Canis lupus familiaris: one gene and its partner. Each later gene encodes a partner of the first gene's protein in a complex. Links are inferred from orthologs where the notes say so. Each region holds a gene or a part of one and is shown on either strand. Other genes may lie near its edges.

Region 1 (3,745 bases):
AGAGACAGAGACAGAGACACAGGCAGAGGGAGAAGCAGGCTCCATGCAGGAAGCCTGACATGGGACTTGAATCCTGAGTCTCCAGGATCACGACCTGGGCCGAAAGCAGGCGCTTAACTGCTAAGCCACCCGGGCATCCCAACATGTACCCTCTTATCATGGAGCATACAGTCAGTGATATTAAATGCTTTAAATGTTCTCTGTGCAAGCTTCAAAATTTAAGTTCTTCATCATACTTTGAATTTAAAGCACCAGAATTAGTTCCTTGGGAATTTTTATGAATTCAAAGTTGTTTGGTGTTTTTTTCTTTTTTATTTAAGTAATCTCTACAGCCAACGTGGGGCTTGAATCCACGACCCCAAGATCAAGAGTTGCATGCTCCTGCAACTGAGCCAGCCAGGCGCCTGCTCCTCATGAATTTTTAAACTCACCCAGAACTCTGAGTGGGTTGGACGCCTTTTTATTTTACAGCATGGAATTGTGGCATCATCCTATCATTCAGTTCTATCTATAGTTATCGACCTAATTCAGTTTTCTATCTTTTTTGAGTCATCTGTTTCCCTTGGAAAGTGACTATTTCATTTCAATATTAAAATTCATTGGCAGCATGAAGTCGTATAAAGTACTTTAATAATTTGTAAACCTCCCTCTTGTTATTTTTTTAAAATAAGCTTTATGCCCAACGTGGGGCTTGAACTCACAACCCAGATATCGAGAGATGCATGCCCTACAGACTTATCCAGCCAGGTGCCCCAACCTTCCTTTTAAACTACCAAAAACCGTATTAGTGGCAATATTACCTTTCCTTTTCGAGTCAACAGTGATTTATAGAAATACTTTAAAAGGTTAGGTGTTCTAATTTTGTTTTTTTTTTTTTTTGGGGGGGGGTTTCCTTTAACCTTTAATTTTTAGAGTTACACCATCATACTAGTTTTACCTGTCCAAATTTAGTTCATCCTTCTAAGCCTAACATATAGGCCAAATCCTTCAAGAAGACTTTCTTCTGTCCTACTGGTTCTCTCCCTTCTTTAAACATATATATATATATATGTTTATATAATAAAAATATATACCTAAACACATATATAAATATATACATAAACATATATATATATATTTATTTATTTATGATAGTCACACACAGAGAGAGGCAGAGACATAGGCAGAGGGAGAAGCAGGCTCCATGCACCGGGAGCCCGACATGGGATTCGATCCCGGGTCTCCAGGATCGTGCCCTGGGCCAAAGGCAGGCGCCAAACCGCTGCGCCACCCAGGGATCCCAACATAAACATGTGTATTAAATATATAAACATGTTTATACGTATAAACATATTTATATATAAACATATATAAAAACATATATAAACATATATATGTTGAGGATATATATATATATATATATATATCCTTTATACATAGCCCATAGTGTTTATACATCTTCCCCCTTACCCTGCCTCAACGCCATATTCAGGCTATTTCACTCCTTTATAAGGGTTACAACTTAGTTCAGTGATTTGTGGGTTTTCACAGCAAGATCCCACCCAACGCAACAAATATTCATTGAGCGCCTGTGCATCAGGCACCGTATCAGGCACTGGGATCCGCGTTAAATGAAAGATACCATCCTGCACTTGAAGAAAGCCTAGTAGGAGTGATGAACAAGTAAACAAATTACCCAGGTGAGCTTCAAGAACTTAGTTTGGAGCTTAAGATAATATAACGTGTATAAGCAGCTTCCAACCCTGTAAAACAAAGGATGCAAGAGAACAGATCCCTTCAGGGAGGGAGAAGGGAGCTAAGGTACCGTCAAGTGCCGCTTTACCGTAAGTAGCCTAATAATCCAACCCATTAGATATACAATCTATAAGCGACAGCACCTGCCTTAAAAGCACGTGGGATTGTAAGGGGGAAAAAAATGCAAATTCATACCTACTAAAATCAGAATTGGGAGGACGGGACGTTTAAATCTGCGTTTTAAACAAACTCCCCATGGACTCAGGCCACCCAAGGTTTTAGAACACAGCGCAGTCAAATTCGGCAGGCCTCATTCCCCAGCCGCTCCCTCCCTTCGGCTAAGGAGGCTGGCCCCGCGGCGCGCCTCTCCTCCCTCCCTCCCTTCTCCCCCGGAGCCGTCCATCTCGTCGGCGGTCACCCAGCGGGAGGCAAGGTGCAGCCACCTACCGCCCAAACTACCACGCAGACACCTGGACCCTCGCTCCGCAAAGGATTCCGGGAAACCTCAACAAGCCAATAAAGGGCGGGGAGGAGGGGCAGAAGAAGAGGGACGAGCGGCTTCTTTGATTGACGCGAAGCACGCCCAATGAGAGCAGAGGACCAGGGACGCTTCCGCCTCAATGGGCGGGCTGTTAGCAACGTCAACCAATCCGACTCCGAAGCGTCTACCTTGTGGGAGGTCCTTGAGGCCGCTGAGGTCGTTGGTGTCTGTTGAACGGCTTGTGGAAGTCGTGCTGCCTTGGGCAGGGCGTTAAAGTCGTTCTCGAGGGGAACGTCTCTGTCCGAAGAGAAAATGAGTTTAGCTCTGAGGTCGGTAATGAGGAGGCCGCAATGCCCTCCACACCTCGCAGCGGGCCCCAGGGCTGGCGTGTGTAGAAGGGAGGTAGCTGGGCCGAGGCGAGCTGGAAGGGGATGCATTTTGGGATGAGGGCGAGGAGCCTCGGCCAGCCTTCCTGGCTCGGATTCCTCACCCTGGGGGCCCTGGTGCTCCGCAGGTGAGGAGTCCCGTGCATTTGTGCCGAGGTAGTTAGCGTCTGTATCAGCGCGTCGGGCTTTGCACCACCGAGGAGATGGGTTTCTAGTTGGGAGGAGGGAGTGAAATATCGCGATGCTTCTTCTCGCGGTGTTTCTCCGCGAAGTCAGGCCGGGGAGCCTCCCTGGGTTCAGCTCCGCCCTCCGGGTCTCCGGCCCCTGCAGCCCCTGCAGCCCCTGCAGCCCCTGCAGCCCCTGCAGCCCCTGCAGCCCCTGCAGCCCCTGCAGCCCCTGCAGCCCCTGCAGCCCCTGCAGCCGTCAGACCGAGCTATAAATTTTGGAAAGAGCTTTAAACTCTTCCTTGCTCTTATCCTGGGGCCCTGCTTTAAGATATAACGGGCGACCCATATAAATGACTTTAATTGATTTCTCAAAAAAAAATTTTTTTTTAGTTTTGTTTACCTTTCATTGACTTCCAATCTCTAACCCCGTTCGTTGCCCCCAGCAGCAGCAGCACCTAGATGTTTTTACACGTTGCACCTTAAAAAAAAAAAAAAAAAAAAAAAAAAAAAAGGTGGTTACGCCTTTCTGAACAGGTGCGGCTTTGGGTTGGGAGATGATGGTGGCAGCCCTGCCTCGACCCCGTGGCGGGTCCTGCTGTTGACCTGGCCGTCCAGAGAAGGTGACCGCGGGGACTGGGGTCCCTGTTCGCGCGAAGTCAGGTGTCTTGTGAAAGGTTGTCCCCCCGCTCTGTTTATTACTATAGGTCTCCTGGTCATCTTCTGATCGTCTGTCTCTTGACGGTTTTGTGGTAGGTTTTTAGAAAGCAAAACACAGGCAAATAGGTAAGGTGTTTTTATTAAATAAAATCAACTAGGCTTTACATTTCAAAGTGTTAGGAAATTGGTTTCAAACTTCTTGTACGGATGTTGCGGCACCATTCGAAATTTTGGAACACTAAGATGAGTATCTCTTAAGACATACCTGGCTTTTTTTTTTTTTTTTCCTTTTTTTTTTAACATTTATTTATTCTTGAGAG
Region 2 (3,662 bases), on another chromosome or scaffold:
AAGATCCACAAACAGGATATTAAAAAGAACACACTTACTTATGTATACCCTTCCCTGCACACACAATCCCCCTGGATATAAATGAGCTCATCCGCTGACTGCCAGATGGGCTGGTACCCTGACCAGCTCCCGTGAAAGGGTTAGCTTTTGGCCACATCAGCAGAGACAGTTCAGGACAAACAGTTCACACTCCTGGCTGTGAATCCACCCTAGGGAACAAGGTAGGCAGACAATGACACAGCTGGATCCTGGCCCTAGTCCCTCCAGCGGTGTCCACACTGAGCATTGCAGCACTTGTAGAAGGTGGTCATCGGCTCGTCTGCAGAGCGAGTCTGAAGCTGCATGAAATAGGCACGAGGATGTTCGCATTTAGGACATGACTCTGGCAACGAGAAAAACAAGTGACCCACATTATGCTCATGACCAAACACACCTGCTAGAAGTAGGTAGGTATTAACACACCAAATCCCTCCCCGACCCCAATCATCTGGCATCCCCTGCCTAGGGCACCTTGCGCCATGACTGAAAGGCTGTAATTAGTGGCATCATTCCCACTACACTCTCACACTGAGGGGACTTGTGACCCTGGAAAACACTCCTGCTCCCCTCCCTGAGTCCCATTTTTCTTCTCAAATCTGGTTGAAGACTAGCTGGAAATGTGACATGAAATGTGGCTTATGGCTACCATGTGCATGATGGGGTCCACTCTGGGCAGATTCTTCCAAGTGCATCTCCATCACCTAAGCCCTCTCAACTTCCTGGAGGAGCCCCCAGGGGATGACAAATCCACTTCCCATTAAATTTAGGGATCCATCTCGGCAGCAGTTCCTCAGGCCGTTCTTATGAAGACCTCACCATACAACCCACACCTTTGCCAAATACCTCAAGGCAAAGTGACTTCAGTTCGGGAAACTGACCCTATGCTTGATAATGCCTTCAAACACTCACAAACAGCACTTTGAACATTAGGTACCAAAATCATCTTCTTTTCTTTCCTGGCAAATTCTGCCAATGCTAATTTTACCATATCAGATTTAGATGTTCTTCTATGGGGGAGAAAAGATAATACTAAACAGGAGTTGGGTCTTCCTCCGCTCAACACAGATGTGTTTAGGGCTCTCTTCTTTCCTTCCCTGGTCACATCTACCTCTATCAGACAGGAAACAAGACTTGAAATAAACATGTGAATGCTCTCTGCCATCAGCTTTTAAAAATCTACACCAGGAAGAAAAATAAATAAATAAATAAATAAATAAATAAACAAACAAACAAACGAATGAATGAATAAATTAATTAATTAAAAATAAAAATCTACACCAGGGATCCCTGGGTGGCTCAGTGGTTGAGCATCTGCCTTCTGCTCAGGGTGTGACCCCGGGGGGTCCCAGGATCGAGTCCCACATCGGGCTCCTGTATGGGGCCTGCTTCTCCCTCTGCCTGTGTCTCTGTCTCTGCGTCTCTCATGAATACATAAATAAAATATTTTTTAGAGATAATTAATTTTAAAAAAGATCCACAACTGAACAAATGGACCATATACTCTTCCTTAGGCTCCGACTTTCATTACTGCCATCGGTTGCTCCCCGCACAGCCGCCACTTGAGGACCACGCTAGAGGCCAAGTGCTGCGGGGCTCCCTTCACGCTCTCACAACGGAGGGAGGCCACCAAGGTCATGCGATGTTAAGAGGCTGTGGCTTTGAGACTAACCCACACCTGTACGTCTCTGGGGTTTATGCCAATATTGCCTGTGTAAGAAATAAATCACTAAAGAAGAAAATACACACGCTATTTTTAGGAGCTTCCTTCCTCAAAGGCAGCGCGGCCTCAGCTCTCACCTGCGGTGGAGTCCACGTTCTCCCAGGCCGCCGCGCCGCCGAGCACATCGTCCACTTCTTTCAGCTTCGGGTACTTCCGGTTGGTGACCTGGCGAAAGGCGGCAGGTGTTCAGGCCGCGGGTAGGGGCGCGGTGCTGACCCGGCCGCCGACTGCCCTCCTCCCCGCGGGCTGCACGATCCTGGGCAGCCGCGTCTCTACACCCGCGGCGCAGGGCTCGGCCCGGGTCCAGGGGCTCCAGCGTCGGGCCGGCCCAAGAGGCGGATGCAGCCGGGACCCCCCACCCCACCCCGTCCACGCTCGGCCCGGGCCCTCCGCGCAGGCCCCCGGCTCCGTCCCGGGCGTCGCGGCGGCGGCCCCAACTCCCGCGGGCAGCTCGGGGCGGGCGGTGCGCCGCGGCTCCGTCCAGGGCCCGGGTTGGGGCCGCAGCACCGACCCCAGGCACGCAAGTCCCGTAGAGGCGTGTCCGCAGGTGACCCGAGTCCGCCAGAGCCACGCTGCTCGGCACGACCCAAACACGGCGAGGCTGCGGGCGGGGCGGGGAGGGCAGCGGGAGCACGTGCAAAGGCCCGGCGGCCGTGTCGGTGCGCGGCGCGGGCTGCTCCCCGGGGGCTGGCGGCGTCGGCCCGGACCCGCAGTCAGCCGCGCCAGCGCACAGGGCGGGCCTGATCCGGCCACGGCTCCGACGAGGCCGCCCGGGCCGCCGCCGGGGACGCCGCCACGGGAGCCGGGTGAGGCCAGGCCGCTCCCGATACGGCGGGGGGCGGGGGCGGGGCCGCTGGAGCACCCCGGCGGGGCGGGCGTCGGCTGCTGGGCGGGGGGCGGCGGGTGATCACCTTGCGCGTGATGTTGTGCACGTAGGGGCAGGTGTTGCAGGCGAAGCGGTGGCAGCGCTGTCCCTCCTCCACGATCAGCCCGTTCCCGCAGCCCGGACAGAAGAGCAGCATGGCTGCCCCGCGCGCTCCCGGCAGCCCCTGCGGCCGCGGGGCGCCGGCGTCGGGCCCGTCGCGAGCTCCCATTGGCCCGGGCCGCCGCCGCCCCAATGGCCGGGCCGGGTTGGCGCTCCCAGCAGCCCCTGCGGCAGGCCGCCTCGAGCCTCCCATCGGTCCCCGTGGCAGCCCCGCCCCTCGCGGCCGGAAGCGGCGGCGGCGCGGTCGGAGCGCGGGGCTGGGCGGGCGCCCTGGAGCCGGCGGAGGCCGAGGCCGAGGCGGAGGCGGCGGCGGCGCGGCCCGAGGCGCCCGAGGCCGAGGAGGATGAAGAGGAGGCGCTGCCGCACTCCGAGGCGGTGGACGTGTTCCAGGAGGGGCTCGCCATGGTGGTGCAGGACCCGCTGCTCTGCGACCTCCCGATCCAGGTGCGCGGCGGGACCTCGGTGCCTGACCTCCCCCTGTGGGCGCCAGAGGTGACGATGCGGCGGGCCTCGATTCTCCCGTGTCCTTTAAGGACCTCACTGACCCGAGCACGAGCGGGGGCAGCAGGGGACAGGGACAGGCGGACGGTCGTCCGGTCCCAAGGCGGACCCCGACGGCGCCCCGGGCGCCCCGGGCGCGGCTGCGCTGCAGGTGCAGGTTCTAAGGTCGTTTCCGTAGTTGAGGCTCAAGTGGGGAGAACGGCTCCACCCCGGGACTCCGCATCGAGATTCGCGCCCCGCCCGAGGACGTTCACTCCTGGGTTGGGCGCCCCGGTCACCCTCGCACACCGGCCTCCCCTCCCCCCCCCGCCCGGTGTCGCCCTGGATCCCGGACTGACCGCGCCTCCTCCTTCCCAGCCCCAGAGCCCAGATCTGGCGCTCACCCTCTCCTGTTTCAGCGCTCCTCTTTTCCTGAGC

The links. Proteins that work in one complex are often made in the same cells at the same time.
Region 2: POLR3G (region 1) and POLR3K share a complex: the UniProt entries of both Homo sapiens proteins name them as parts of the RNA polymerase III complex. The link is inferred for Canis lupus familiaris from reciprocal best matches to the Homo sapiens genes POLR3G and POLR3K.

What each region holds. Positions count from the first base shown.
Region 1 is NC_049224.1:18,660,769-18,664,513, forward strand, and holds the start of POLR3G (DNA-directed RNA polymerase III subunit RPC7), read right to left. Parts: upstream 2,525-3,745; 5' UTR 2,404-2,524; exon of another isoform or gene 2,388-2,403; intron 1-2,387. Other genes in the region: CETN3 (centrin-3), read left to right, coding at 2,528-2,544. UniProt on the Homo sapiens protein: DNA-dependent RNA polymerase catalyzes the transcription of DNA into RNA using the four ribonucleoside triphosphates as substrates.
Region 2 is NC_049227.1:40,886,881-40,890,542, reverse strand, and holds the start of POLR3K (DNA-directed RNA polymerase III subunit RPC10), read right to left. Parts: upstream 2,831-3,662; 5' UTR 2,782-2,830; coding exon 2,671-2,781; intron 1,925-2,670; coding exon 1,837-1,924; intron 383-1,836; coding exon 255-382; 3' UTR 1-254. Other genes in the region: SNRNP25 (U11/U12 small nuclear ribonucleoprotein 25 kDa protein), read left to right, coding at 3,147-3,188. UniProt on the Homo sapiens protein: Core component of RNA polymerase III (Pol III) which synthesizes small non-coding RNAs using the four ribonucleoside triphosphates as substrates. Can mediate Pol I proofreading of the nascent RNA transcript.